4 linked regions of the Lonchura striata genome follow. The protein of the gene in region 2 purifies or fractionates together with the protein of the main gene of each other region. This does not show direct contact. Links are inferred from orthologs where the notes say so. Each region holds a gene or a part of one and is shown on either strand. Other genes may lie near its edges. The genes, in order: EEF1G, EEF1A2, EEF1B2 and VARS1.

Evidence for each region.
Region 1: the proteins of EEF1A2 (region 2) and EEF1G purify together in Homo sapiens (affinity purification with mass spectrometry; 4 studies listed by BioGRID and IntAct, counting the BioPlex papers as one, with this or other methods). This does not show direct contact. The link is inferred for Lonchura striata from reciprocal best matches to the Homo sapiens genes EEF1A2 and EEF1G.
Region 3: the proteins of EEF1A2 (region 2) and EEF1B2 purify together in Homo sapiens (co-immunoprecipitation; 4 studies listed by BioGRID and IntAct, counting the BioPlex papers as one, with this or other methods). This does not show direct contact. The link is inferred for Lonchura striata from reciprocal best matches to the Homo sapiens genes EEF1A2 and EEF1B2.
Region 4: the proteins of EEF1A2 (region 2) and VARS1 purify together in Homo sapiens (co-immunoprecipitation; 3 studies listed by BioGRID and IntAct, counting the BioPlex papers as one, with this or other methods). This does not show direct contact. The link is inferred for Lonchura striata from reciprocal best matches to the Homo sapiens genes EEF1A2 and VARS1.

The regions. Positions count from the first base shown.
Region 1 is NC_134638.1:103,683-111,356, forward strand, and holds the start of EEF1G (elongation factor 1-gamma), read right to left. Parts: upstream 3,016-7,674; 5' UTR 2,980-3,015; coding exon 2,965-2,979; intron 1,425-2,964; coding exon 1,266-1,424; intron 339-1,265; coding exon 275-338; intron 1-274. Other genes in the region: POLR2G (DNA-directed RNA polymerase II subunit RPB7), read right to left, coding at 3,432-3,445, 3,794-3,827, 4,469-4,540, 5,072-5,137, 5,752-5,802, 6,590-6,749. UniProt on the Homo sapiens protein: Probably plays a role in anchoring the complex to other cellular components.
Region 2 is NC_134619.1:6,370,055-6,377,768, forward strand, and holds the start of EEF1A2 (elongation factor 1-alpha 2), read right to left. Parts: upstream 3,007-7,714; 5' UTR 2,943-3,006; coding exon 2,799-2,942; intron 1-2,798. UniProt on the Homo sapiens protein: Translation elongation factor that catalyzes the GTP-dependent binding of aminoacyl-tRNA (aa-tRNA) to the A-site of ribosomes during the elongation phase of protein synthesis.
Region 3 is NC_134610.1:25,893,215-25,900,726, reverse strand, and holds the start of EEF1B2 (elongation factor 1-beta), read right to left. Parts: upstream 3,008-7,512; 5' UTR 2,993-3,007; coding exon 2,913-2,992; intron 2,754-2,912; coding exon 2,631-2,753; intron 1,577-2,630; coding exon 1,453-1,576; intron 1,228-1,452; exon of another isoform or gene 1,148-1,227; intron 1,072-1,147; coding exon 1,005-1,071; intron 712-1,004; exon of another isoform or gene 578-711; intron 350-577; coding exon 224-349; intron 1-223. Other genes in the region: NDUFS1 (NADH-ubiquinone oxidoreductase 75 kDa subunit, mitochondrial), read left to right, coding at 4,064-4,127, 4,326-4,417, 5,817-5,924, 6,980-7,056, 7,148-7,229, 7,328-7,458. UniProt on the Homo sapiens protein: Catalytic subunit of the guanine nucleotide exchange factor (GEF) (eEF1B subcomplex) of the eukaryotic elongation factor 1 complex (eEF1).
Region 4 is NC_134631.1:259,702-267,608, reverse strand, and holds the start of VARS1 (valine--tRNA ligase), read left to right. Parts: upstream 1-4,903; coding exon 4,904-5,029; intron 5,030-5,149; coding exon 5,150-5,215; intron 5,216-6,885; coding exon 6,886-7,074; intron 7,075-7,907. Other genes in the region: U6 snRNA-associated Sm-like protein LSm2, read left to right, coding at 819-944. UniProt on the Homo sapiens protein: Catalyzes the attachment of valine to tRNA(Val).

The sequences.
Region 1 (7,674 bases), on a different chromosome or scaffold from region 2:
ATGCTCACTGCCAGGAAAGGGTTAATTAATCACCCAAAAGGGTAATTAATTAGCAGCAGGGAAATTAATTAGCCAGGGGAATGGTTAATCAGGGGAGGGACTCATTAAGGGGCAGGAAAAATCGTTAATGAGCAAAAGGGGATCATTAATGAGCTCCAGGAAAGAGCCAATCAATCAATCAATCAATCAACGAACAAATTAATTAATTAGGGCAGCAGAGCACAGCCAGTGAGGAGCACAGCAGCTCATTAAGCTAATTAGGGCACTAATTAACCGTAGTAGGCGATGGCGTTGCTCTCGAAGACGCAGAATCCGTCGTCGCCCTCGAAGGCCGGGACCTGCGGGGAGAAAACCCAGACCTCAAAAAAATCCCAAAAACCCCAAAAACATCCAGAAAATACTCCCAAAAACCCCAAAATCACCAAAAATCCCAAAAAACACCACAAAAATCCCAAAAAATCCCCCAAGAAATACCCCCCAAAACCCCAAAAAAATCCCAAAAATCCCCAGAACATCCCCAAAACCCTAAAACATCCAGAAAATACTCCTAAAAACTCCAAAACCACCAAAAATCCCAAAAAACCCCCACAAAAATCCCCAAAAAATCCCCCAAGAAATACCCCCCAAAGCCCCAAACCTCAAAAAAATCCCAAAAATCCCCAGAACATCCCCAAAACCCCAAAACATCCAGAAAATACTCCTAAAAACTCCTAAACCACCAAAAATCCCAAAAAACCCCCACAAAAATCCCCAAAAATCCCCCAAGAAATCCCCCCCCCACCAAAAAACCCCAAAGCTCAAAAAAAGCCCAAAAATACCCCAAAACCACCAAAAAACCCCACAAAACTTCAAATTCTGAGCCAAACGCCCAAATCCCCACAGTTTGGGAGTTTTTTGGGATTTTTGAGTTTTTTAGGGTTTCTTTTTTTTGATTTTTGGGATTTTTTTGGCAATTCTGGGATTGTTCAGGCTCAGATTGACCTTCCCGAGCGGGAACTTCTGCAGGAACTGGGGAGCCTGAACCCCCCAAACCCCAGATCTTGGGATTTTTGAGTTTTTTGGGATTTTTTTGGGATTTTTTGGGAATTCTGGGATTGTTCAGGCTCAGACTGACCTTTCCGAGTGGGAACTTCTGCAGGAACTGCAGGGTCTGAACCCCCCAAACCCCAGGCCCCAGATCTTGGGATTTTTGAGTTTTTTGGGATTTTTTTGGGATTTTTTTGGGATTTTTTGGGAATTCTGGGGTTGTTCAGGCGCAGACTGACCTTCCCGAGCGGGAACTTCTGCAGGAACTGGGGGCTGCGGTTGGTGTGGCCGAAGCGGAAGAGCGGCGGCGCCGAGAGCACGCGCAGCCGCGCGCCCGAGTACTGCGCCGCGATCAGCGCCTTGAAGGCGCGCCAGTTCTCGGGGTACGTGTACAGCGTCTGCGGGAGGCACCGGGGGTCCCCAGGGGGTCACCAGGGGGTCCCCAAAGTGTCACCAAGGTGTCACCAAAATATCCCCAAAGTGTCACCAGAGTGTCACCAAAGTGTCCCCAAAGTGTCCCAAGGGTGTCCCCAAAGGGTCTCCAGAGTGTCCCCAGGGTGTCCCCAGGGTGTCACCAAGGTGTCTCCAGAGTGTCCCCAAAGTGTCCCCAAAGGGTCACCAGGGGGTCCCCAGGGTGTCACCAAAGGGTCCCCAAAGTGTCACCAAGGTGTCTCCAAAGTGTCACCAAAGTGTCACCAAGGTGTCTCCAGAGTGTCACCAAGGTGTCCCCAAAGGGTCCCCAGAGTGTCCCCAACGTGTCCCCAGGGTGTCACCAAAGGGTCCCTAGAGTGTCACCAACGTGTCACCAAAGGGTCCCCAGAGTATCCCGAAAGTGTCCCCAGAGTGTCACTAAAGTGTCCCCAAAATATTCCCAAAGGGTCCCCAGAGTGTCCCCGAAGTGTCACCAGAGTGTCACCAGGGTGTCCCCAGAGTGTCACCAAAGGGTCCCCAAAATATCCCCAAAGTGTCACTAAAGTGTCCCCAAAATATCCCCAAAGGGTCCCCAAAGTGTCACCAAGGTGTCACCAAGGTGTCCCCAGAGTGTCCCCAAAATATCCCCAAAGGGTCCCCAGAGTGTCCCCGAAGTGTCACCAGAGTGTCCCCAGTGTGTCACCAAAGGGTCCCCAGAGTATCCCAAAAGTGTCCCCAAAGTGTCACCAAAATATCCCCAAAGGGTCCCCAGAGTGTCCCTAAAAGGTCCCTTGAAGTGTCCCCAAAGGGTCCCCAAGGTGTCCCCAGAGTGGCTCTCGAGTGTGCCCAAAATATCCCCAGAGTGGCCCCAAAATGTCCCTAAAACGTCTCTTAAATTGTCCCTGAAATGTCCCCACAGGGCGCCCAAAGTGTCCCCAAATCTCCCCAAAATGCCCCCAAAATGTCCCCAAGTTTTGGGACACGGGGGTGGCCGCGGGGGTCCCGGTGTGGGGCGGGCACTGGGGGACAATTGGAACCCCCGATTTTGGGGTACCCGCGCGGGATTTGGGGGAAAATCGGGGCAGGGGGTCCCCGAGATGTCCCCAGAACTTGGGGACACCGGGGTGACACCGGGGGGTGGCACTGAGGGGACGCAGGACCCCCAAAATCCGCCCCGGGGGTCCCGATGTGGACGAAGCCCCTGGAACCCCCCGGGTTTTGGGGTACCCGCGCAGGATTTGGGGGAAAATCGGGGCAGGGGGTCCCCGAGATGTCCCCGAGATGTCCCCGAGATGTCCCCGAGGGTGGCACCAACCCGCCGCCCTCCCCCCTCACCGGCTCCGGTTCCCCTCAGGGCTCCCCCCCTCCCTTCCCGCCGCCATCCGCGCCCCCCGCCGCCTCCCCGCGGCTCCGCGGCCGGCCCGGCCGCATCCCCGGTGCCCCGCGGTTCCCCCGGTGGCGGCGGGGAGGCGGCGGGGCGGCGGGGGAAGGAGGATGGCGGCGGATGGCGGCGGCGGCCGCACTCACCCCGGACACCGCCATCTTGGAGAGCGCGGGGAGAAGGCCGGGCCGGGCCGCAAAGCGCGGAAACGGGGCTGGGTGGGAGGAGCGCGGCAGTGACGCGCGGCGCCGTAAAGCGCGGGACGGGGTGGCTGCCGTGGCAACGGGGGGGGACCGCACTTAAAGGGGCGACGCTGCCTTAAAGCGGCGATGGCGCCTTAAAGCGGCGATGGCGCCTTAAAGCGGCGATGGCGCGGTGGGCCCCCCAGGGAGGCGAAGACCCCCCCCAAAATTCCCGGAGCCCCCCCCAAAAAAAAGAAAAAGGCGGAAAATTGGGAAAAACGCCTTTATTGAGGGAAAACAGAGCCCCCCCAGCTCTGGGGGAGGGGCCCGGCTGCCAGAACCCCCCAAAATTGGGGATGGGGGGGGTGGGGCTCCCAAAATTTGGGAGAAGGGGGGGGAAATTGGGGAGGGGTCGCGGCTGCTCCTGGGGCTCAGCTGACCAGGCCTGGGGGGGGAGAGAAGGATGAGGGACCCCAAAATCCACCCCGAGACCCCCCAAAATCCTCCCGGGACCCTCCAAACCCCACCCGGGACTCCCAAAATTCCCCCAGGACCCCCCAAATCCACCTTGAGACTCCCCAAAATCCCCCCGGGACCCCCAAAATCCCCCCCAAATCTCCCCAGAATCCTCCCGGGACCCTCCAAACTGCCCCGGGACTTCCAAATCCCCCCTGGGCTCCCCCAAATCCCCCCGGGACCCCCCAGAATCCCCCCGGGACCCCCAAAATTCCCCCAGATCCCCCCAGGACCCCCAAAATTCCCCAAATCCCCCCAAATCCCGGCCCCGCCTCACCCAGGTAATCGTCCATCAAGGAGCCGATGGCGAACTGGGGGGGAGGGGAAGGATCAGGGGAGGGGGAGGGGCTGACCTGGACCCCCCCCGGAGCTGGGACCCCCCCAAAATTTGGGATGTCCCCCCCCATTTGAGAATTCCCTCTGAAATTTTGGGATTTCCCCCCCAAATTTGAGAATTTCCCCCCAAATTTTAGGGATTTTCCCCCAAATGTTGAGATTTTCCCCCAAATATTTGGTTCCCCCCTGAATTTTTGGATTTCCCCCCTGAATTTCGAGCATTTCCCCCCAGATTTTGGGATTTTGCCCCCAAATGTTGGGAATTTCCCCCAAATTTGGGAATATCTCCCTGGATTTGTGGATTCTCCCCCCGTGCCGAGATTTGAGGATTTCCCCACCAAAAATCCCAACATTTCCCCGCAGAATTTTGGGATTTTCCCCCAAATCCCAGAATTTCCCACCAAGTCCCAGGATTCCCCCAAAATTTTGGGATTTACCCCCCGAATTTCAGCATTCCCACCCAATTTCAGGATTTTCCCCCCAAATTTTTGGGTTTTCCCCCCTGAATTTTGGGAATTTTCCTCCCAGAATTTCAGCATTTCCCCCAAAATGTCAGGATTTGCCCCCAGATTTTGGGATTTTGCCCGAAAGGCCGGGATTTCCCCCCGAATCTCACGATGTCGTTCTTGTCCACGCGCGTCCCCACGATCTTCAGGCGGATCTCGTCGTCCTGCTGGATCACGATGTCCTGGGGGAGCGACAGTGGGGACCCCAAAATCCCCCCAAAATCCCCCCGGGACCCCCAAAAATCCCCCCAGGACCCCAAAATCCCCCCAAAATCCCCCCAGGACCCCCAAAAATCCCCCTGGGACCCCCTGAATCCTCCCAGGACCCCAAAATCCCCCCAGGACCCCCAAAAATCCCCCCGGGACCCCCAAAAATCCCCCCGGGAACCCCAAATCCCCCCGGGACCCCCAAAATTCCCCCAGGACCCCCAAAAATCCCCTCGGGACCCCCAAAAATCCCCCCGGGACCCCCCAAATCCCCCCGGGACCCCCCAAATTCTCCCCAGGACCCCCGAAATTCCCCCCAGGACGCCCCCAGACCCCTCAGGACTCCAAATTCCACAGGATCCCCCCAGGATCCCCCAGGATCCCCCCAGGATCCCCCCCCAAATTCCCCCCAGGACACCCAAAGTCCCCCCAAAACCCCCAAGGACCCCCCCAAGACCCCCAAATTTCCCTCAGGACCCCCCAAAATCCCCCAAACCCCCCCTCACCTCGTCCACGGTTTTGTAGCAGGGGGGGTTGGAGTTGGGGTCGAATTCCATCTCGGAGGGGATGGACTGGGGGGACAGGGGGGCAGATTTGGGGTCCCCGGGGCAAAATTTGGGGTCCCCTGGGGCAGATTTGGGGTCCCCAAGGGGATTTGGGGCAGATTTGGGGTCCCCAGGGGAAAATTTGGGTGGGAAATGGTGGGAGGGGGGGTTGAGGGGTCAGGGAGAGCCCCAAGGGGCATTTTGGGGTCCCCTCCCCCCTTTTGGCCATTTTTGGGGTCCCCTCCCCCCTTTTGGCCATTTTCGGGGTCCCTTTCCCCTTTGGGCCATTTTTGGGGTCCCCTCCCCCCTCTGGGCCATTTTTGGGGTCCCCTCCCCCCTTTTGGCCATTTTTGGGGTCCCCTCCCCCCTTTTGGCCATTTTTGGGGTCCCTTTCCCCTTTGGGCCATTTTTGGGGTCCCCTCCCCCTTTTTGGCCATTTTTGGGGTCCCCTCCCCCCTTTTGGCCATTTTGGGGTCCCCTCCCCCCTCTGGGCCATTTTTGGGGTCCCCTCCCCCTTTTTGGCCATTTTTGGGGTCCTTTCCCCCCTTTTGGCCATTTTTGGGGTCCCCTCCCCCCTCTGGGCCATTTTTGGGGTCCCCTCCCCCCTTTTGGCCATTTTTGGGGTCCCGTCCCCCTCTCACGTGGCGGGAGATGAAGCAGGACATCGGCCCGATCTCGGTGAACAGCCCCACCTGGGGACGGGAAAACGGGGCAAAAATGGGCAAAAATGGGCAAAAGTGGAGAAAAATGGGGAAAAGTGGGAAAAATTGGGCAGAAACAGGGAAAAGTGGGGGAAAAGGGATAAAAACAGGGCAAAAATGGGCAAAGTGGGGAAAAAAGGGGGAAAAAGGGGCAAAAACGGGGAAAAAACAAGGCAAAAATGGGGAAAAATGGGGGGAAAGGGGGAAAATGGGGAAAATGGGGAAAAAGGGAGAAAAAATGGGAAAAATGGGGCAAAAATGTGGTAAAAATGGATAAAAATTAATAAAATCGGCAAAAATTGATAAAAATTGATAAAAAGGGATAAAATGGGCAAAAACAAATAAAAATGGATAACAATGGATAAAAGTGGGAGAAAAATGGGATGAAGATGGATAAAAAGGAATAAAATGGGCAAAAACGGATAAAAATGGATAAAAAAGGATAAAATGGGCAAAAACAAATAAAAATGGATAACAATGGATAAAAGTGGGAGAAAAATGGGATGAAGATGGATAAAAAGGAAGGAATGAAATGGGCAAAAATGGATAAAAAGGGATAAATTGGGCAAACAGGGATTAAAATGGATAAAAATGGATAAAAATGGATTCAAACGGGGCAGAACCAGGAGAAAAAGGCCCAGAAAGGGACCAAAAAAACCAGAAATTAATAAAAACGAGACAGAAAACGACAGAAGGGGAGGCCGGGCCTTGCCGGCCTGGGTGACCCCCGGGTGACCCCTGACCCCCGCGTGACCCCTGACCCCCGGTGACCCCTGACCTTGTTGACCTGGGTGACCACGGCGTCCACCACCTCGCCCTTGAAGGGCCGGAAGACGATGGCCTTGTAGCGCACGGGGTAGAGCACGAAGCCGCGGCCCGGCTGGATCACCCCCGCGCCCACGTTGTCGATGGTGGTCACCGCGATAACGAACCCGTATCTGTAATTAACAACCGTTAATTAATGAATTAGTGCTCATCGGGGGATTTATTGTGGTTTTATTGGGGGTTATCATTGATTTATTGGGGTTTATTGGGATTTATCATTGATTTATTGGGGTTTATTGGGGTTTATCGGGGTCTGGATCACCCCCGTGCCCACGTTGTCGATGGTGGTGACGGCGATAACGAACCCGTATCTGTAATTAACAACCGTTAATTAATGAATTAGTGCTCATTGGGGGATTTATCACTGATTTATGGGGGTTTATTGGGATTTATCATTGATTTACTGGGGTTTATTGGGATTTATCATTGATTGATTGGGGTTTATTGGGGTTTATCGGGGTCTGGATCACCCCCGCGCCCACGTTGTCGATGGTGGTCACCGCGATAACGAACCCGTACCTGTAATTAACAACCATTAATTAATGAATTAGTGCTCATCGGGGGATTTATTGTGGTTTTATTGGGGGTTATCATTGATTTATTGGGGTTTTATTGGGATTTATCATTGATTTATTGGGGTTTATTGGGGTCTGGACCACCCCGGTGCCAACAGCGAAGCTGCCCCCGAGAGACGGGGTTAATGTCAGTTAATTAATTTAATTTTGATTGATTGATTGCGATTTATTGGGATTTATTTGGGGTTTGTTGGGCGTTTTTCCCGGGGCCTTTTTGGGGGATTTCGGGGCCGTTTTTGGGGATTTTTTTGCTGTTTTAGGGATTTTGGTGCCGTTTTTTGCGGATTTCGGTGCCGTTTTTGGGGATTCTTGTGCCGTTTTGGGGGATTTTTGTGCCGTTTTTGGGGATTTTGGTGCCGTTTTTGGGGATTTTTGTGCCGTTTTTCGGGATTTTTTTGCCGTTTTGCGGATTTCGGTGCCGGTTCCGCTACTCCCGCCCCGGTTCCCCCGGTCCCGCGCTCAC
Region 2 (7,714 bases):
GATACCCTGCTTCCATCCATCCATCCATCCATCCATCCCTCTTTTCCCTGCAATCACAGTTTCTTCTGGCCCATTATCAATCACAGGTCGGAGGGAAGCAGCCCCCAGTGGCAGGTACTCATCAGTGATGAGCCCCCCCAAGAAAGAGAACACAGAATCACATCCAAACCTTGCCCACACCATGCCCAGGGGCTGGTCTGCTGCTCTGCTCCATCTCCCACACTCCAGCCCTGTTCCCAGCCAGCACAAGGAATTAATGGTGACAGCCTGTTTCATAACAGCTGAGTGGTGCGATGACTTTGCAGCTTGCTCCGGAGGATTAAGGGCAAAATCCTAAAGCCAGGGGTAAGATTTCCCCTCCTCAGAGGGGACGCCAGGTCGAGGAGGTGATGCCCAATCTCTGCTGGGCAGCTGTGAGCTCTCACTGGCATGGAAAAATCCAGAACCAAGACTCTGCTCCTGAGCATCTTCCTGACACTGGATGGCCAGGGGGGATGGGAGGAGCTTGGAGGTTTTTAGAATCACAAAATGGTTTGGGTTGGAAAAGACCTCAAAGATCGGCTCATTCCAACCCTTCTGCCATGGACAGGGGCACCTTCTGCTAGACCAGGTTGCTCCAAATTCTGTCCAGCTTGGCCTTGAACACTTCCAGGGATAGGATCAGGTTAACCCTTTCCAGCACGCACATCAAACTCCCCCTTCCCAGAGAACAGGGAGCAGTCAGCAGAGTGTGCTGCTGGAAATGGAGACCCAGCAGGGAATGGTGCATTTGTGCATTGCATTAATTATGGGCTTTTCTTGGGCAGGAGGTCAATCAGCACATCCCACAGCCTCTCCCTCATCAGCAGCCTACTGCCTCCCTTCTGGATGGGGAAACTGAGGCACAGAGCAGAGCCCTGGCTCTCCCACAGCAGCTGAGTGGGAATCAGCACCTTCCTGCCATTGGCCATGTCCACACACACAGCCAGCTGCTCATCACGTGTGAGACCCCCTCAGAGCTCGGCATCACACGTAACGTGAAGACAAATGAGATCCTTTATTCAGCAAACAGTTTCCCTCCTTTCACAGGGTGTATTCAGTTACCCAGGGCTGGTGTTGAAAAACCCAGGGTATTATCTAGCTCTGCACAATACCTTCCCTGTTCAGTGCCAGAAATAGCCTGAATTTCCCTGATCAAACCCCAGTGGAGGGACAGCTTTCTATTTGGAGGCCACAAATACTGATTATTTAATTTTTTTTTTTAAAACAGAACAACTCTTCTTTCAGAGATACTGTTACCTCTGCCCTTGAATCAAAAGGGGGGAAAAAAGAGAGAAATCCTCGCTCTTTTCTCTTAAATAAAATAACAGACCCTGGAGTTTTTTTGTTGGCCTTTTGGGTGCACGCAGGCCTCCATTTCCTGTGAATGCCACCTAATGGAAGCAAACCCTTCCCCAGCCCTGCATCAGAAAATGGAGTCTGTAAGCTCAGTCAATAGGCTATTAATAGCAGCCTCCGGTGCCCGCGGATCCTGGCAAGTCAGTGAAAGTGCCTGTGCAATTAAAATCACTGCAATCACATCAACGATAACCTTATCATGCCTTATCTGATCTTATGGGTAAAGGGGGGAATTTGTGGAAGGATATCGGCAACCATTTTAATCCAGGGGAGAAGGGTAATTTTGTATGAAGGAAGAGGCTCCTTTCCTTAAGGATGCAAAAAAAGGCTGAAAGTGAGGCAGGAAAATAAGGGATTTAGCTCAGATACTATCGGCAAGTTAAAAAGGTCAAGACAGACAGCAAAACATGAAATTAAAAGTGGCAGCTCTGTAAATCTCTTTTGTTTTTTCTTTCTTGTCAATGAAATGTGTGATTTTGACCAGAAAAATAAATGGAAAAAAAAAAAAAAAGAGGGATATCTGCATTTCCAGAGCGATGACGACAAGCCATCTTCTGAGTGACAGGAGCTGCCCTGTGGATAACACAGCCAGGCTGTTCCCAGCTCACCCGCCTCTCTAGAATTTACCATCATTAATTTCTCTGCACTCCCAATTGACATTTTTCTTCCCAAGCCTGTTTCTTCCTGATTAATCCTGGGGTTTGCCACATTACAGGTATCGGGTGGTGCTTTGCTGTGCGACAGCTTCTAAATGCATGCACGATAAAATTGTTATAAATGTCACCATTGCAAGGGTTAAACAAAAGAATTTAACTTAAATGCTCAGATTTACAGACAGTTTTCTGTATCATAGGTTGCCAATCACACTACACACCAGACCACCTGCCTGAGGAAAAAGGGAATGAGGTTTTTCAGCTGGATCAAATGAGTCCAGCTGATGCTGCACCTTGTCCCAGCAGGCACTGGAAACTGATGCTTCAGAGTGAAATTCAGACAGCCCTGACCTATGCAGTGAGGGATTATCAGGTTTTCCCCCCTCACGCACCATATTTAGAAAGAATTTCATGCCTTGAAGCACCATGGTTTGTGGCTTTTCCAGGATTCTAGTGATTCCTGCTGGTTCCCTGACCCATCTTGCAGACCTCGCCGTGCCCCTGCCCTGGTTACCAGCGGGCAGCAGGGAGTCCCCCAGCTCCGAACAGAGGGTGGCGAGCACCCAAATGGCCCATTTTCCCAAGGCCAGAGAAGTCGGGGAGACCCAGGGGTGCAAAGGGAGAAAAATAGATGGGAACAAAGGGAGAAATGGAAGGTAAGAGAAGGGCAGCACGGGCAAAAGGGGAATACTGCCTGCGGGATACTGGCGGGGGCCAGCGTGGAGCATCCCCGCGGGTGGGAATGCGGGGTGGGGACAGGCTCCTCACCTCGGCAGCTTCCTTCTCAAATTTCTCAATGGTCCGTTTGTCGATGCCCCCGCATTTGTAGATGAGGTGCCCGGTGGTGGTGGATTTCCCAGAGTCCACATGCCCGATGACGACGATGTTGATGTGCGTCTTCTCCTTCCCCATGCTGCTGGGCTACGCGGGGCTGGCCGGGGCGGGCGGCGCTGGGGAGGGCGGTGGGAACGCAGCTGCCTTTTGGGGGAGGCTGAGGGGGAAGAGTCGGGAGCGTCAAAAGAGCCCCCCTGTGCCAATCCCCTCCCAGCCCTTGGGGAAAGTCTGTCCTCCCCTCGCCCCACCTTCCCGCTGGACCACTCGCCCGGGGGTGCCCGGCCTCGTCTGGCAGCTCTGCCCGCACTGGGTCAGAGCCAGCCGGGCTATTTCGGGCTGCCACGTCCAGCCTCCAATTCTCGGCAAGACGCCGTGTTTTTCGTGGTTTTTTCGGCATCTTGCCCTCCACCTCCCTCGCGGAGACCCCCAGTTCCCAGGGCTACGTCATGGATGCTTCGAAGGTGCCCTTCCTCCCTGGAAAACCTCCCTGGAAAACCTCCCCGCGACTCAGGGCTGCTCCCGCTGCCTTCTCGCTCTTTCCAAAGCCGAGGGCATCTCCTCCATGTCGTGGGTGCCCTGGGAGGAGCCGAGGGTGCCCGTCCTCCCGGGCTGCCCTCACCACTCCCCAGCTGGGCACAGTTCAGGTGACAACAGAGTGTCTGCAAAACGGGGTGGACAAAAATAGCCCTCGCCTGCTCCCCCAAGCAGGGCTGCAACAGCGGGGCTGCCCAGGGCTCCTCTGAGCCTGCACTTTGCGGGGTTTATTATATTTTGCTGCCGTGAAACTGGATGGAAGAGAGGGAGGAGGCTAAAAACGCAAACGGATATATCCGGGGAGCTGTCCTGGCATCTCCCGGCGTTGCCATGGCTCTGCAGCTGCACACGAACCGGGCACAATTAGGAGCTTTAATCTGACGTCTAATAAAATCCAATTTCACGAATCTGCCCGTAGAAGTGAAGGAGGTCAGGAGGAGTTTGCTGCTCTAATAGCGATGCAGTCATGCGGGTGGTAACATTCCCAGCGAGAAGCTTCCCCGGGCAGCAGGAGCGGCGGCTGGCCCGTCCCTCCTGCCCTTGAACCCCGCCAGCCCGGGTCTGGCCATTTTGCTCCACTGAGATGCTCGGTCCCGGACTCGCACCCGGACCCAATCCTGCCCTGCAGACCCCTGGCACACAGCGGGAGATGCTGGATCGCTTTGGGAATTGGGGATTTGTTTTTTTATTATTCCTTCCCCAAGGAGCCAAAGACATCCCTGCCCATGGCCGGGGGATTGGAACGAGATGATCTTTAAGGTCCTTCCGAGCCAAATCATTCGAGGATTCTATGATTCTAAAGGCAGGGTGGGGGGAGGGGGGAGCTGGGGGGATTATCAGGTTTTCCTCCTCGTGCACGACATTTAGAAGGATTTTCACGTCCTGAAGCACCACGGCTTGCGTGTTATTTCCCACCTGCGCCAAAGACGCACCTGCGGGATGAAGGAATGGTCCAGCCCCATCCTTTCCCTCCGCGGGGTACCCCGCACCCCGGAGGGGCTGACAGCACCCACACACGGGAGGGGGGCACTGATCCCCTGGGGCAGGACACCCCTCCCGCATCCCCCTGTCCCCCCATCCCGCCGGGGTCCCGCAGCTCTTACCGGGGCGGCGGTCGGGGCGGCCAGAGGCTGCCGGCTTGGGCTCCGCCGGCTTTATCTCCGCGGGAGGGGCCCTCCTATCGACGGCGGCAGCGCAATGCAGCGGCCCCCCCGCACTACGGCAATGCGGTACCGGGCGGGGGAGGAGGAGGAGGAGGAGGAGGAGGAGGAGGCGCGGGGGGGACGGGGAGAGGAGGAGGACGACGAGGAGGAGGAGGGAGAGGCGGGAGAGACGGGGGACTGGGAGGGAATGTGTAGGGATGGGAAGGAGGTAAAAGGATGGGAGATAAAGGGATGGGAGGAAGATGGAGGGATGGGGAAAATGGAGAGGTGGAGGGGGGGTGATAGAGGGATGGGAAGGTGAAAGGATGGAAGGCTGAAGTCAGAGGGAGACGGCAAGATGGAAGGTGGAGAGATGGGAGGAAGGTGGAAGGAGGAAAGATGGAGAGACAGGAGCCATGGAAGATGAAGGCATGAGAGGGAGGTGGAGAGATTGAAGGCAGAAGGATGCAAGGATGGGGAAAATGGAGGAGAAATGGAGAGGCAGAGGGGTGGAAAATGGAGGGATGGGAAGATGGAGAAATGGAAGACTGAAATCAGAGGGAAACAGCAGAATGGAAGAGAGAGGAATGGGGGAAAGATGGAAGGATAAAAGATGGAGAAACAGGAGAGAGGGATGATGAAGATATGAGAAGGAGATGGGATGGAGGAGATGGAGAGACTAGAGACAGAGGGTTGGGAGGAAGACAGATAAATGGAGGGAAGGGCTGTTTGGAAGATGGGGAAATGATGGAAGTGCTGGCCCAGGGGGACTTGGACTCCCTGTGGCAGTCTGGGAGTGAGGGGACAGGGCTGGCTTTGGATGGGCCACCAAATCCCACATCTCTGTCCCCAGTGGTGCAGAAGGGCTGTGCTCCCACAGGGGCGGGGAGGAGAGGAGTCCCTGCAGGGCACAAACAGGACCCTGGGAGACCCTGAGGGCACTGCCCCACATCTCTGCCTCGCTGGGATGCATCAGTCCAGGAGCAAGTGACTAAGCAAGGGACAAGCACAGAAAACAGATTTCTGCACCTGCAGCACATATGGGGGCTGCTCAAGAATTTGTGATTTAAAAACATCATCTCATTTTTAATGGGAAGTGGGGCTCAGGTCCTAGGAGGACAAGGAAACCATAAACCTTCAGTAATATAATGACATTTTCTTTGCACAAAAAAATAATATGTAGTGGTCAGAATATTTATGTCTGTGTCAGCTGTGCATTTCCAAGGCCAATCCAAAATTTTCTGTGTCCCAAAGCCAAATATAGGTAAAAAGGAAGCTAATTTGACTAAAGCTATGAAATAACCCAGAACAATTTTATGGCCCAGACCATCCTTCCAGTGAATTCAACAGCTAATTTAGATACCTTTACGAAGATACTCTTACCTTCCTAGACTAATGGTTAAAAATTTAATCATCATGTGGATAAAAATGTTTCTAACTTCTCATTAGTGCTCAAAGGGAGGCCTTTTTTAATGAATATTATACCTCACTGGTATTTTCTTAGAAATATGATAGGCAAGATATCTTCTGTTTTTATGAAGCATTCCTTGCACAACATAAAATGCACTGAGTGCCAGGAAAAATAAAAAGAAACGTCCAAGGAGGAGATTCTAAGAGGATTTAAAGAGATTACCCCAGCCTTGTTTTGGGATGGGGATAGAAGATTTACCATAGTTCTGGACGGGCTGGAGATAGACAGCAAGTGTGATAATTTGGAGGAGGGAGAAATTTATAAATCCCTCGTTATTTCTATCCATATTTTAGTGCTTTGCCTTTTTTTCACACAAGGGCTGAGGCAGCCTGGGAACTGCCCTCAGAGGGGCAATGGCTGAGTTTAATAATGAAGATGGGGATGGAATAAATCCTGGTCACCTCTGCCAGGTGAGCATGGGATGGGCTTCTCCTGCCTCCTCTCCTTCTCCAATAAAAAGAATTTTTGTTTCCACCCCTTTTCCCAGGCAGGCAGAAGGGAACTTGGCAGTGCCCTGTTCTGCACTGAAATAGAGCCTGACGGCCCATCGGCCTATAAATAGTCCAGGAGCTGAGAGGAGAGGAGAGAGGGCTGTCAGACCTGGCTAATCCCAGCTCCCTTAAGCCACTTTGCCCCAGCCTCGAGAGGTTAAAGCCACAGCTGTGTGCCCAGGTCTGGCTGGCACCTGGGGCTGAGGACTTCACTGAGCACGTGTGGCTCTGGGGACCATCAAGCTCAACTTCCACACCTGAGTGGAATAATCTTCCCTCACAAAAAAAAAACCAAAAAAAACACAGTGTAAATTTACCCTTAAATGTAAAATAACAGAGACCCGAGCAAGAGAAATCCGAGGGAGGCTGAAGTTTAGCACCTCGTCTGCCTCCATCTGGTGTCAGATCCACGGCCCTGAAACAATTCCCCTCCATCTTCTTGAGGCTTGATTCACCTTCCATGTAAGCCACCATCAAATGATTTAGGATGACTCAAGAAAACAGAAACCTCCTTCCTCAGAAGGGATGGGCAGGCTGCACACAAACATGGCAGGGACCTCTTACTCCTTTCATCATCATCACCTCCACCACACCCAGCTCTACAGCCCCTGGACTGAGATTTGGTGTTTTAATCTAGGCTACCATTTCCATTTGATTATTTAACCTAGGCTAACATTTCCATTTGGTTCTTTAAATTAGGCTAACATTTCCATTTGCCCAGACATAACCACTGGAATTTATTTTTTCCCCCAGGAGGCCCTCACAGTGACTGGGAGAGGGAATAATCCGCAGTGCTGGTAATTTGTATGGATCTGGGATGTGAACACTCCAGGCTGCCTGCCTGGATTTGCCTGGCTCTGGGGGTGTTTCTGCCCGTGAGTGTTCAGCTCACTAAGCAGTTGTGTGTTTGTGGTTATGAAATGCAGCAGGTCTCCTCTGAAGAAGGGGGTTTGGGCAGGGCAGATGGCAGCCACGAGGAATGCCAGCCCAGATGTCACTCCAGAAGCTCTGGTCTCACAAGGGAGAAGCTGGGGCTGGACAGAGGGATGGCTGTAAATTGCTGTTTTCTTTCTGTGCAAGGAAATTGAGTCCTTGAAAGGAAGAAGTGCAGCCTGGCCTCATGCAAGAGCCATTGGAAAAGCAGATCCAAGGAGGGTAGAGCAGTGGTTGTCCTCAAAAAGGCAGTTTGTGGACAGAGTGGAGGCTGTTAGC
Region 3 (7,512 bases), on a different chromosome or scaffold from region 2:
TCCTGTAGCTTTTAAAACCTGTATTTGAATCTTAACTAGGCCACTGAACCAATACACCTTTTCAGACCATGCAAAGACACTGAAATACTGCAGTATTGCAGTTCCCCTGTTACAGCTACCTACATTTCATACATCAGCAGTGACCACAAGTCCCACTACTCAGTACTAGCCCACAAACCTGCACTCTCCCCCACACCCTGCTCTGAAATTTCCCCATACTTACAAGATCCCCAGACCAAGCCATCTGCTTGAATGCTTCGAACACACTCCTCTAGTTTGGCCATGTCTGTCTCATCATCCCAAGGTTTCACATCAAGCAAGATTGATGACTTTGCAACAACAGCTGGTTCTAGGGGAAGAAAATCACCATGAAAAGATAGGTATCTTCCAAAAACTCATGAATACACTTGCAAAATGGTTTTACAAGAGCAACTTATCCCATTTCACGAGCAAGAACCTGATGACATTGCTGTGACAGGCCTCTGGTACCAAGGCACATTTCTGAAGTACTGCAGCTGTGTACATCCCAACTTTCAATATGCAGATACATTATGTATACACAGATTTGAGCAGATGACAGTGTTTGTTACATAGGAAGTCCTTCTCAGAACATCTGAGAAGGAGCCTAATGCTGTGTAACAGTTTATTTTCCACAGATGGAATACTGCAACTGCTACAGTTCTGAACAGTTCCAGACCAGTAGCTGTGGAATAACTTGTGTACTGCAGCACTTTCACTAAAATTTTGAAGAAAATCCTTGTAGAAAGCCCAGTCTCTGGAAAGAACAAGCAGGAGTGTATGAACCAGAACAAAAAGCATGTTAACATTCCTATTTGCATTGGGAAGGCTGAGCTCACTGGCAATTCAAGTGAAGCTAATCACTCCTGTCTCATTCCAGTCAAGCTGATCTATTATTACAGTTAATTAGTCTTTCTAGCCATCCTGTTCAAATGCATAAAAATTAACTCCAGTGTAGAAGATTGGAAAGTTCTCGGCACACATACTTTTGGACTTCTTAGATTCATACTGGGCCAGACGCTCTTCCCTCAGTTTCTTTGCTTCTTCACTTTCCTGAAAGACAAATTTGCAGTTACAGAAAAAAGCACCAAACCTCCACATCTCCAAAGCACTACACCAAACTGACTGGCATTTACTCAGATAAAAACAAATCATCACACTTGTCAGCCGAAAGATGGTGATTTTTTGTTTTACTCATCATGTAACCAGCCAAAATTAGACAGCTCATCCCATTCCAGCACCTTATTTTCTAACTTTTGAGTTTTTACCTTCCAAGCTTCCCTATTCTGCAAAGATAGCTACACTTGGGTATTGCAAGTAGGATTATCAAGGTTGGAAACATAAGTAACTCCAACTAGGTCAAGGTGAAAAAATCTGCACACCTTATTTAATTTCTAAAGCGTAACAGGAATAATACAAAAAGGTCACAAGTACCTCCTCATCATCAGATCCAAAAAGGTCAATGTCATCATCATCTTTGCTATCTGTGGCCGCACCTGTTGTATCCTCAACATCAGCAGGACCATATTTTCCCAAAGCCTTCTTTACTCCTGGCAAGCTGAAAGAAAAATGCAGGTATCAGGAACCTCCTCAAACATCAATACAATCACTGCCAGCTTATCAATGCCCGTACAAAGCTATTTATAATGAAAAACTTGTGCTAAAAAGAGTAAAAATCCAGCTTTGCTACTTGAAATCAGAACCTCGTGAAAGCCAGCCCCAACACTCCTGACATGCCAGCTGAGTAATCTGTGAATATGGGATTTGCTGTAGCTCAGAGCTGGTATGATCCTGCCCAACTAAGTACATGGATAAGAAAAGCTTTCTTATTGGAATCCTCTATCTGCACTACATTCTGTCTAGGAGGAATTACCAACTTCATGTACGTGCTTCCCTGGAACTACTTTCACTTGTTTAAAACCTAGTAAGTCACTGAAAACACATTACTGCATGGTAACTGCTATTTTCCCATTTCAGTGCCCTAAACCCTTCCTCTCAACAGGACAAAAAAGTCTAACTTCCTGAATTTACCTTCACTTGCTGCTCATATGGTCCTGTCATCTTAGAATAAGGTCACAGTTGTATTGCTCATGTGAACAGCTGTTACTGAAGCCATAAAATTCGCTTTTGATTTCAGGAACCCTAAGCAGTTTCCAGATACTTTGTGAAACCACTTCAGAATTTCAGTCCCTCTTAGCATTACCAAAGCTTCAGAAACTGATTAGAGACTGAGCTACCCATTTTTGGTAGTTTCCTCCGAAGAGGACTGAGGCTCAGAAGCAGCGTTGCAATACTGACCCTACCTATGCTGTACCTTTTCAGAGGCCTGCAGTCTCCACGGATCTCAATACAGCACCTTTCATGAACACATAAAACCACTAAAGAGAGAAAAGATATACTATTTCCTTTCATATCTACTTTTCTTTCCATGTCCTTCGGTACTGCAATCATTAATTTTGTCCTCCGTACTGACAGAAGATGTCTGCCCTGTTTCTGACACAAAATGCCATGCGGTGCCACTGGAAACCAGTTTTGCTCAAACTGGAAGAAACAAACGCAACAATTTGTAGGCGAGTTCGGGGAGGTATTACAGCTTCGAAGTTTTACTATACCTTGCCTTTTGCTTTTCATACGACTTAATATGATTGTACCACCGGAGAGCATGGCACAGGTCTGCAGGCGGCGGGGCGGCGATCGCTTCGAAGACTGCTATGTCAGCCTGCGAAGGGACGTACCTGCGGAGAGCAAACCGAGTTATCTGCCTTGCTCGAGACTCGCAGGAACACGCGGAGCAGCGGCGGCCGCCGGGCTGACTCAGGGCCCTTGTCCCGCTTGTCTCCGCCAGGCCCGACTCACGCTCTCCGCGCCCAGCACCCTCCCCCGCCGCCTCTCACCCCTCGATGTAGCTCTTGTCGGCCAGGAAGTCATTGAGGACGCGGAGGCCCGCGGCGGACTTCAGGTCGCCGAAGCCCATGGCGGCGGCGCGCGGCCCACACGCTGCGCTGCCCCGACCGCCACTGCCGCGGGAAAGGGCCCGGCCGCGCCTGCGCCGGCCTTATATAGCGCCGGATCCCTCCGCGCACTGCACGCGTGTATCCCTCCGCGAGAGCGAGCCGCGAGGTAGCGCCTCAGGGGTTGACTGCTGCAGCGCAGGGCGGGCAGCGGGCGGGACAGCGGAGGTGCGGGAAAGCGTCGAAGTAATAGAAGTGAGGCTGACTATAAGCGCTAGGAAGGTTTGCGGCATTACACGGCTTTGTAGCACTGTACTGTCGCCACACCCCGCCCTGCTGGCAGAGCGGAAGTTGCCGGAGTTGAGCGAAGAAAGAGGCGGAAAGGGACGGAAACTGCCGAGGGAAGGGCGGCGCGCGTGACGGCGGCCGAAGAGGCTGTGGGCTGGCGGCGGAACTTACGCATGTCATCGTGCCCCTAGCGCTTGCCGGAAACACCCGAAGTGGTTCGCTCCGGAGGTTGCCGAGCGCGGACTGCCCCGTACGGAGATTGCCGAAGGAGGCTCCGGAGGCAGCCGAGGCAGGCGGAGGTCGCGGCGGAAAGGCCCGAGGCCGCCGCCGCGGAGGCCGAGGCGGAGCGCAGCCGTGCCGCGGCGCCGCCGCCGTCCCGCGCCAGGTAACGGCGCTGCCGCCGCTCCGGGCGCCGCCGCTCCCGCTGTCCTTGGCGGGCCGGGGGCTGCCCGGCGGCGGCGCCGCCTCCAAGGTGACCCCCGCCGGGTAGCGCTGCCGCCCGCCGTGCCCTCGGCCCGGGGACGGCGGCACCGGGCCCGCCGCAGCCGAACCGCGCTGCCAGCGGGGCAGCGGCGCCGGGGCTCCGCTGCGGGCGGAGGGGCCGCTCAGAGACGTTCCTGTGTGTGATGTATAGATTGGTAGGATCGTATGTTGCGTTTGAGGGAGGTAACTCGGTGCCCCATAACTGTGCATATAGGTCCGTGCTCTTCTGCGGCTGGTGTAGTTCTTACGCTACCTGTTTTAAACTTGCCAGCAAACATTCGAACTGGTAACAACAGTGCTCTTTTCTCTCGTTCCAAAGCACCATGCTTCGACTGCTTGCTGTCTCCAGGACCTTAGCTGGGGTCACCCAGTCCTCCAGAGTATGTGGTAAGTGTCTGTGGTTTATATCTGGGTCTCTGGAGATAAATGTATGTGCAGTTCATTTACCGGAGGGCACATATGCATACTCGCTTTGCAGGCTAAGGGATACTGTGTTGTGCTCTTGGTAGAATTGGGATTCCGTCAGCCCTCTATAAGGAAAATCAGGAGTAAGGAGTTTTTGTTTTCTTTTTCCATGTCCTTCAGGGCGTACAACTGCAACAGCAGCCAGCAACCAAATAGAGGTGTTTGTGGATGGCCATCCTGTATTGGTGAACCCTGGAACCACAGTCCTGCAGGTGTGGGAAATGACATTCTCAATTTTCTGGGACTTCCCATCTCACTTCTTGGCAGCATGTTCTGTTCCATTCAGCAAAAAGCCACCTGCCTTTACATCTTGCAGTTCTTTAGGGGTGTTTTAACTGACTGTGATGCAATTTCATGTGACAGAAATCCCTGGGGGAATCCAGTGTTTGAAAGAGAAAAATATGCCATGGTTGCTTAAAAGAAGATGCATGCAGCATCAATCCCAGCTGCAAAACTTTATTCAATGCAGTAACAGACTTCAATAAATTCTCATTGAACTTGACCTTGTAGTCTTTCAGAATCTGTACATTTTGTATCTTATTACAGTGTATCTTGGGTAAATGACAGATTGTCTCCTTTCAGTTATTGGTTGTTAGGATTCAGAGTGCTCATGCTTAGCTGCTTTTATTATTCTTGGTGTGGAAAGAAAGGGAACCTGGATCTCCCAACCTGTACAGAGCATTGTTACTTTTCAGGATTAAGTTTCAAGTAAAGATTTTTTTTAAGAAGTCATTAAATGAAGATGTGATATAATGAGTTAGAACATTAAAATATGCAATTTTTTTCTAGATATAGCCCTTGTTCTTTGGATACAAGTTACTAATTTATTTAGGCATTAGAATGTCCCCAGCAGGAACCTAGTGCAAATTTTTCTTAAATGTTGTTTTTTTAAATTAGCTTTTCAGTTTAGATAACATGGTTCTTTTTGGTAGAAAATGTCAGACAAACTAGACCTTGTTAAAGTTTTTTTATTAAATTTGGTGGTATTTCTTCTGGCAGGCATAGCTATAATGCTGTAGCATAGATCCCATTAGTTGTGGGGGGTTTATGCAGGAAAGGCTGTCTTCAGCTGGTCTCTGGAAATCTGTTGGCTCTGTCCTCCTGTCTCTATTTCTGTCGTGTTGTCTTTGAGTTTGGGCTCTGCTGAAGTTTAAGATTGACTCTGCTGGAGTACCTTCATACAGAGGATCTGTGTTGTTGGATTATCAAAAATCATTCTGCTCATGGTGCTCTTTTTAAGTTTTTCAGTTTTTATTGTGATGCACTTTTCTGTAAAGAGTCTGTTTTTTAAAAAGTTATTTGTATTATTAGTGCCCTGTTGCAGAGAATTCTCTGTATTATTGGAGGAAAGAATGAAAGACAGGTCAGTTTTCATTTCCTCAATCACTTATAAAGGTTAGAAAAACTATATTTGTAATTGATATCCTGACTTTTTTTTTTGCTTTGTCACAATTTTTTATTTATGGTCACTTCTTAAGATGAAAGGTCAAGTGCCTTCTATTCTTGAGCATTGACAGTGTTACTCTTTGAAAAGCTGCATGGTGTTTTCTGAGGTGGAACTGAAAAATCTAATTAAGATTTAATTTTCCTCTATTTCTTATTTTTTGATAGGCTTGTGAAAAGGCTGGAGTTCAGATACCTCGTTTTTGTTACCATGATCGTCTCTCTATTGCTGGAAACTGTAGGATGTGTCTTGTGGAAATAGAGAAAGCTCCAAAGGTATTGTTTGTGTTTCACAGGAATTGCAATATGGAATATGCAATATGGAATTCAGTAGGAGTTTTTTGCTGTGCTTGGGCCTAGTTTAAATCTTTTAAGTAATTGTTGGCATTCTCTTGGACATGAGCATTTGATAGCTGTGTGTTTGCTGTTAGATGCATTTTATGCTTTGTAGTTCAAGCTTCAGCCACACATGTTCAGCTGATACTACATAGATAATACACTTCAGATACTGTATGAATTTAACTGTACGATTAGTAACTGCAGGTTCATTGTAAGTAAAGATTGCAGTTAGTTAGTAGTTTATATGTTAATGCATTGATATCTGTTGTGAAATAGTTGATTTCAGGAGCGAACACTGTCTTCAGCAGTACTAAGAAATCTGTGCACATTCTTTTAGGGTTCAGTCTTGGATTACACATTTATACTCACACATAAAATTTTTTAGCTCAACCCAACTTCTATTCCATACTTTGAGCTTTGTATCTCTGGATATGTTGGGTTATCACTAAAGGTGGAAATCATGATGCGATTGAAAAGTAAAAGGGATTTATTTACAGAGCAGGAGTTTTTGTTACTCTTGCAGTAATCTTGAGAAGAATTTTATTCCAAGACTTTATACAGGCTTTGTGCAAATAAGTGTCTTGTAAACGATTCATACTCTGAATTTCAGTTCTAGAGGTTTTCTAGATGTCTGCTGAAACTGTTTGATTTGCCTTGTCTCTATTACAACTGAGATTCTTAATGCTGTAGCTACTCAAATTGAGACTGGAAATTGTAGAATTTTAAAATGTTAATAATTGTAAAATTATTCATAAATAAAGAATTATGAATAAGTCATAACTATTTTAACCTTTTTATATAGCAGATTATTAATGAATATGGCTTCTAGTGATGTTATCAGTTAGACTCTTTTTGTTTTCTTTGCAGACCTCTTTATTTCTATTTATTTATTACAGATACATATGTTAGAATTGGGGGGGAGGAGATGTGGGTTTGTGCCCATCTGAGAAGAAAAATATTTGTTTCATGCTTCCTTTTTATTGTGATTGCAGCCAGTTGCTGCTTGTGCCATGCCAGTTATGAAGGGCTGGAATATACTGACAAACTCTGAGAAGTCCAGGAAAGCAAGGTACCTTTCTTTAGCCTCCTTTGGCTGATTAGGTGTACTGTCTGCTAAGTGATGTTAAGTTGACATTAATTTAATTCTCTGAACCTAACAGAGAGGGTGTAATGGAGTTTCTGCTGGCAAATCACCCATTGGACTGTCCTATCTGTGATCAGGGTGGAGAATGTGATCTACAGGTACAAGATCCAATTAAATTATGTAGACTTATGTATAATGCTGTTGTCTTAGGTGAAATTGTGCTTTCCAGCAGCCTGTGTTCTATTGTCTGTTGTAGGACCAGTCAATGATGTTTGGCAGTGATAGGAGCAGATTTAGAGAGAGCAAACGTGCTGTGGAGGACAAGAACATTGGCCCCTTAGTCAAAACCATCATGACTCGGTGTATACAGTGCACTCGATGCATCAGGTAAAGCTCTTTACTTTCACTGAGCAGAGTACTAAGCAGGCATATTTGTGTCAA
Region 4 (7,907 bases), on a different chromosome or scaffold from region 2:
GGGGAGATTTTGGGGTGATCTGGGGGGATTTTGGGGATTTCTGGGAAGGATTTTGGGGAGATTTTTGGGGTTACCTGGGGGGATTTTGGAGCGTTTCTCTCTGTTTTTTGGGGGGATTTCTCTGGGGATTTTTGGGATTTTTTGGGGTGCATCTCAGGAATTTTTGGGGTGTCTGTGGGTGAATTTTGGGGTGTCTGTGGGTGAATTTTGGGGTGCCTTTCCCCCCAGCTCTCGGTGAAGAACTGCTTCATCCACGGCTCCGGGGGCGTTTTTGGGGGGAATCTTTGTTTTTTCGGGGTTTTTGGGGGGATTTCTCGGGGATTTTTGGGGGGATTTCTCTGGGGATTTCTCTGGGGATTTTGGGGATTTTTTGGGATGTGTCTCAGGAATTGTTGGGGTGTCCCCGGGTGAATTTTGGGGTGCCTTTCCCCCCAGCTCTCGGTGAAGAACTGCTTCATCCGCGGCTCCGGGGGCGTTTTTGGGGGAATCTTTGTCTGTTTTTTCAGCGTTTTTGGGGGGATTTCTCTGGGGATTTTTTGGGGTGTATCTCAGGAATTGTTGGGGTGTCCCCGGGTGAATTTTGGGGTGCTCTCCCCCCAGCTCTCGGTGAAGAACTGCTTCATCCGCGGCTCCGGGGGCGTTTTTGGGGGGAATCTTTGTTTTTTCGGGGTTTTTGGGGGGATTTCTCGGGGATTTTTGGGGGGATTTCTCTGGGGGTTTTTGGGGGGATTTCTCTGGGGATTTTGGGGATTTTTTGGGGTGTTTCTCAGGAATTGTTGGGGTGTCCCCGGGTGAATTTTGGGGTGCTCTCCCCCCAGCTCTCGGTGAAGAACTGCTTCATCCGCGGCTCCGTGGTTCGCTACGTGCAGCTGCCGGCCGACGAGGTGGACACGCAGCTGCTGCAGGACGCGGCGCGCAAGGAGGCGCTGCAGCAGAAACAGTGACCCCCAAAACCCGGGGGACCCCCCAAAAATTCTGGGGGACCCCAAAATCCCTCGGGGGAACCTCCCAAAATCTGGGGAACCCCAAAATCCTCACAGGAACCTCCCAAAATCCCCGGGATAAACCAAAATCTTCAGGGATACCCAAACCCCTGGAGGGACTCCCAATTTTGGGGTGACCCCTCCAAAATCTGGGGGGGACCTAAAATCTGGGGAACCCCCCAAAACATCTGGGGAACCCCAAAATCCCTTGGGGGAACTTCCCAAAATCTGGGGAACCCCAAAATCCCCACAGGAACCTCCCAAAATCCCTGTGGATAACCCAAATCCCTGGGGATACCCTAAAAAACCAGGGGGACCACCCCCCAAAATTCCTGGGGACTCCCCAAAAATCTGGGGACCCCAAAATCCCTCGGGGGAACCTTCCAAAATCTGGGGAACCCCAAAATCCCCGAGGGAACCTCCCAAAATTCCCGGGGATGACCCAAAATCTTCGGGGAAACCCAAATCCCCTGGGGGGACTCCCAAATTTGGGGTGACACCCCCAAAATCCCCGAGAGGACCCCAAAATCGCCAGGGATAACCCAAAACCCAGTGGGAACCCCAAAATCCCAGGGGGAACCCCAAAATTCTTCAGGGGAAACCCAAAATCGCCTGGGATAACCCAAATTCCTGGCTGGAGACCCAAATTTAGGGTGACACCCCCAAAATCCCCGGAGGGACCCCAAAATCTTCAGGGGGACCCCAAAATCCCAGGGGGACCCCCAAAATACTCGAGGATTTCCTAAAATCCCCAGGGAACCCCCCGAAAATTTGGGGGAACCCCAAAATCCCCGGGGATAACCCAAAAACTGGGGGGACCCCCCCAAAATCTTTGTGGGGACCCCAAAAATCCGGGGGAACCCCAAAATCTTCAGGGACGCCCTAAAAAAGCAGGGGGACCCCAAAATGCTCGGGAGGAGCCGCAAATTTGGGGTGAAATCCCCAAAATTCGGGGGGGACCCCAAAATTTGGGGGTGCCCCCGGCCCCGTTGCTGAACCCCAATAAATGCCGGCCCCGCCCTGAGCCTGCGAGTGGATTTTGGGGGGATTTTGGGTTTTTTTGGGAGTTTTTGGATCATTTTAGGGGTTTTTGGGGTGATTTTGGGGGGTTGGGGTGATTTTGGGGGGTTGGGGTGATTTTGGGGGTTTTGGGAGGATTTTGGGGGTTTTTGGGGTGATTTTGGGGTTTTTTGGAGGATTTTCAGTCTCTTTTCGGGCTGTTTTTGGGGGGATTTTCAGGCTATTTTTGGGGGGGGTTTCAGGCTGTTTTTGGGGCATTTTTGGGTTGTTTTTGGGCTGTTTTTGGGAGGATTTTCGGGCTGATTTCGCTGTAGTTTTGGGGATTTTCGGGCTGGTTTTTGGAGGATTTTCAGGCTCTTTTTGGGCTGTTTTTGGGGGATTTTCGGGCTGTTTTTTGGGGGATTTTCAGGCTCTTTTCGGGCTGTTTTTTGGGGGATTTTCAGGCTCTTTTCGGGCTGTTTTGGGGGGATTTTCGGGCTGGTTTCGGGCCGTTTTGGGCGTTTTTTTGGGGTCCCTTTGGCGCGGCGCAGCCTTGGCACCTCCCGGCCGCCAGGGGGCGCCGCGCTCCCCCCGCCCCTCCCGGCGCCAACCGGAAGTTGCGTCATTCGCGCGCGTCCTGCGCATGCGCCCCGCGCGCCGCCCCACGTGGCTCCTCCCGCCGCCGCCGCCGCCGCCGCAGGTACCGGGGAGGGGGGGCCACGTGACCCCCCAAATCCACCCAAAATCCCCCCAAAATCCACCCAAAAATCCCCAAAAAATCCCCCTGAAAAACCCGGCACCCACAGCCCCCGGTACCGGCCCTCAGCCACCCCCGGGATCCCACCCGGGACCCCCAAAACCCCCCGGGACCCCCAAAATCCCACCCGGGATCCCCAAAACCCCCCGGGACCCCCAAAAACCCACCCGGGACCCCCAGAAACCCCCCGGGACCCCAAAATCCCACCCAGGACCCCCAAAATCCCACCCGGGACCCCCAAAATCCCACCCGGGACCCCCAAAATCCCACCCGCGATCCCCAAAATCCCACCCGCGACCCCCAAAAACCCACCCGCGACCCCCAAAATCCCACCCGGGATCCCCAAAAACTCACCCGGGACCCCCCAAACCCCCACGGGACGCCTAAAAACCCACCCGGGACCCCCAAAAACCCACCCGGGAACCCTAAAAACCCACCCGGGACCCCCAAAATCCCACCCGGGACCCCCCAATCCCCTCCCGACCCCGGTGCCCCCGGGAGCCCGGCTTTCTTCCCGGTTTTACCCAATTTTTTCCATCTTTTCCCTGTTTTCCCCAATTTTCTCTCCATTTTCTCCCTTTTTTCTCCCACTTTCCCCCAATTTTTTCCCTGCTTTTACCGATTTTTCTTCTTTTTTCTCTCCATTTCTCCCCTTTTCCCACAATTTTCCTCCCAATTTTCACCCAATTTTCTCTCTTTTCCCCCCTAATTTTTACCTAATTTTCTTCCTTTTATCTGCCCATTTCCCCCAATTCTCCCCTAATTTCTCCCCCTATATTCACCGAATTTCACGCGATTTTTACCCAATTTCACCCAATTTCCTCCCTCATTTTTCCCCATTTTTACCCAATTTCCTCCCCCATTCCCTCTCATTTCCCCCCATTTTCCCCCACTTTTCACCAATTTCCCCCCATTTCCCCCTAATTTTCCCCCAAAATCTCCCCCAATCTCCCCCCCATTTTTTCCCCAATTTCTCCCCTTTTCCTCCATTTTTCTCCCACTTTCCCCCCATTTCCCCCGATTTCCCCCCATTTCCCCCAATTTCTCTTCATTTCCCCCAATTTCCCCCCAATTTTCACCAAATCCCCCCGTTTCCCCCCAATTTCCCCCAATCCCCCCAATTTTCACCAATCCCCCCGTTTTTCCCCCCAATCCCCCCAATTCCCCCAACCCCCCAATTTTCACCAATCCCCCAATTTTCCCCAATCCCCCCAATTTCCCCCAAACCCCCAATTTTCACCAATCCCCCCAATTTTCCCCCAATCCCCCCAATTTTCACCAATCCCCCCAATTTTCCCCCAATCCCCCCAATTTCCCCCAATCCCCCCAATTTTCACCAATCCCCCCGTTTTTCCCCCCATTCCCCCAATCCCCCCCAATTTTCCCCCAAACCCCCCAATTTTCACCAATCCCCAATTCCCCCAACCCCGCAATTTTCACTAATCCCCCAATTCCCCCAAACCCCCCAATTTTCACCAATCCCCCCGTTTTCCCCCCAATTTTCACCAATCCCCCCAATTTTCACCAATCCCCCATTCCCCAATCCCCCCAATTTTCACCAATCCCCCCGTTTTCCCCCACAATCCCCCCAATTCCCCCAACCCCCCAATTTTCACCAACCCCCCAATTCCCCCAATCCCCCCCAATTTCCCCCAATCCCCCAATTCCCCCAATCCCCCCAATTTTCACCAATCCCCCGTTTTCCCCCCATTCCCCCAATCCCCCCAATTCCCCAAACCCCCCAATTCCCCCAATCCCCCCCAATTTTCCCCAATCCCCCAATTTCCCCCAAACCCCCCGTTTTTCCCCCCAATCCCCCAATTTCCCCCAATTTCCCCCCAATTTTCACCACTCCCCCCGTTTTCCCCCCATTCCCCAAACCCCCCAATTTCCCCCAATCCCCCCAATTTTCACCAATCCCCCCGTTTTCCCCCAATTTTCACCAATCCCCCCGTTTTCCCCCCAATTTCCCCCAATTCCCCCAATTCCCCAAACCCCCCAATTTCCCCCAATTTCCCCCCAATTTTCACCACTCCCCCGTTTTCCCCCCAATTTTCACCACTCCCCCCGTTTTCCCCCCAATTTTCACCACTCCCCCCGTTTTCCCCCAATTTCCCCCCGTTTTCCCCCCAATTTTCACCACTCCCCCGTTTCCCCCAGCCCCATGGCCGCCCCCCCGGTGCTGCTGCTGCCGCCGCCGCCCTCGGGCTCGGCCGCGCTGCGCGTCCTCATCGCCGCCCGCTTCTCCCCGGGCCCCCCGCCCCGCCTGGAGCCCGCGGGCCGGCCGGGGGTCCCGCCGCTGCTGCGGACCCCCGGGGGGGCTCTGCTGGGGCCGGGGGCGGCGGCGCTGCTGCTGAGCCCCCCCGAGCTGCGGGGCCGGGACCCCCCCGAGGCCGCGCTGGTCCGGCAGTGGGTCGCCTTCGCCGAGGGCGACCTGGGCACGGCCGCCGCCCTGGCGCTGGGGGGACCCCCGCGGGTCCGTGGGGAGGGGTCTGCGGGGGTCTGGGGGGGGTTTGGGGGGGGATTTGGGGGAGTACTGGCGGTTTGAGGGGGTATTGGGGGGGTATGAGGGGATTTGGGGGGGGTACGTGGGGATTTGGGGGGTATGAGGGGGTTTGGGGGGGTATTGGGGGGTGTATGAGGGGATTTGGGGGGGGTACAGGGGGGATTTGGGGGGTGTACATGGGGATTTGGGGGGGTATGAGGGGGTTTGGGGGGGTTTTGGGGGGGATTTGGGGGAGTACTGGCGGTTTGAGGGGGTATTGGGGGGGTATGAGGGGATTTGGGGGGGGTACGTGGGGATTTGGGGGGTATGAGGGGGTTTGGCGGGGTATTGCGGGGTGTACATGGGGATTTGGGGGGGTATGAGGGGATTTGGGGGGTCTACGTGGGGATTTGGGGGGGTATGAGGGGGTTTGGGGGGGTATTGGGGGGTGTATGAGGGGATTTGGGGGGTATGAGGGGGTTTGGGGGGGTATTGGGGGGTGTACATGGGGATTTGGGGGGGTATGAGGGGGTTTGAGGGGGTATTGGGGGGGTATGAGGGGATTTGGGGGCTTATGAGGTGGTTTGGGGGGGTATTGGGGGGTGTACATGGGGATTTGGGGGGGATTTGGGGGATTATGAGGGGGTTTGGGGGGTTTGGGGGGATTTGGGGGAGTACTGGCGGTTTGAGGGGGTATTGGGGGGGTATGAAGGGATTTGGGGGGGTCTACGTGGGGATTTGGGGGGTTATGAGGGGGTTTGGGGGGGTATTGGGGGGTGTACATGGGGATTTGGGGGGGTATGAGGGGGTTTGGGGGGGTTTTGGGGGGGATTTGAGGGAGTACTGGCGGTTTGAGGGGGTATTGGGGGGGGTATGAGGGGATTTGGGGGGGTATGAGGGGGGATTTGGGGGTTGTACGTGGGGATTTGGGGGGGATTTGGGGGATTATGAGGGGGTTTGAGGGGGATTTGGGGGGTGTACGTGGGGATTTGGGGGGTATGAGGGGATTTGGGGGGGTTTTGGGGGGGATTTGGGGGAGTACTGGCGGTTTGAGGGGGTATTGGGGGGTATGAGGGGATTTGGGGGGGGTACGTGGGGATTTGGGGGGTTATGAGGGGGTTTGGGGGGGTATTGGGGGGTGTACATGGGGATTTGGGGGGTATGAGGGGGTTTGAGGGGATATTGGGGGGTGTATGTGGGGATTTGGGGGGTATGAGGGGGTTTGGGGGGTATGAGGGGATTTGGGGGGTATTTGGGGTGGTATGAGGGGGTTTGGGGGGCATTTGGGGGGATTTGGGGGGTATGAGGGGGTTTGGGGAGGGTTTGGTGGGTCTCAGAGGGGTTTCAGAGGGGTTTGGGGGGGTATGAGGTGGTTTGGGGGGGATTTGGGGGGTATTGGGGGGTTTCACAGGTGGGATTTGGGGTGTCACAGATGGAATTTGGGGTGTCACAGGTGGGATCTGGGGTGTCACCGGTGGGATCCGGGGTGACATGATGGAATTTGGGGTGTCACCGGTGGAATTTGGGGTGTCACCGGTGGGATCTGGGGTGTCACCGGTGGGATCCGGGGTGACATGATGGAATTTGGGGTGTCACCGGCGGGATCCGGGGGGATCGGTGCTGTCCCTGTGCCGAATTTCGGGGTGCCCCCGTTTCCCCAGGACCGGCCGTGGGGGCTGCAGGAGCTGCGCCGGGGGCTGGGGGCTCTGGAAGCCCACCTGGGCGGGGGGCGGCGCTTCCTGGTGGGCGACGGCGTCACCCTGGCCGACGTCACCGTCACCTGCACCCTGCTGGGGCCCTTCACCCAGGTGGGACCCCAAAAATGGCCCTGGGACCCCAAAATCTCCCTGAGACCCCCAAAATATCCTTGAGACCCCCAGAGTGACCCCCAATGTCCCCTGGCCCCCAATCCCCCCATGACCCCAACCCCCCCCTGACCCCCAAATCCCCCTGACCCCCAATCCCCCACGGTGACCCCCAATCCCCCCCGGTGACTCCCAAACCCCCCCCTGACCCCCAATCCCCCCCCTGACCCCCAATCCCCCCAGTGACCCCCAAATCCCCCCTGACCCCCAGCTGCTGGACCCCCCCAATTCCCCCCTGACCCCCAATCCCCCCAGTGACCCCCAATCCCCCCAGTGACCCCCAATCCCCGTGCCCCCCAGCTGCTGGACCCCCCCAATCCCCCCCGGTGACCCCCAATCCCCCTGACCCCCAATCCCCCCCGGTGACCCCAAACCCCCCGGTGACCCCCCAATCCCCGTGCCCCCCAGCTGCTGGACCCCCCAAACCCCCCAGTGACCCCGAATCCCCCCGGTGACCCCCAATCCCCCCGTGCCCCCCAATCCCCCCAGTGACCCCCAATCCCCCCGTGCCCCCCAATCCCCCCAGTGACCCCCAATCCCCCCAGTGACCCCCCAATCCCCGTGCCCCCCAGCTGCTGGACCCCCCAATCCCCCCGGTGACCCCAAACCCCCCCGTGACCCCCAATCCCCGTGCCCCCCAGCTGCTGGACCCCCCCAAACCCCCCGGTGACCCCCTAGTCCCCGTGCCCCCCAGCTGCTGGACCCCCCAATCCCCCCCGTGACCCCCAAACCCCCCAGTGACCCCCAAACCCCGTGCCCCCCAGCTGCTGGACCCCCCCAAACCCCCCCCGTGACCCCCAATCTCCGTGCCCCCCAGC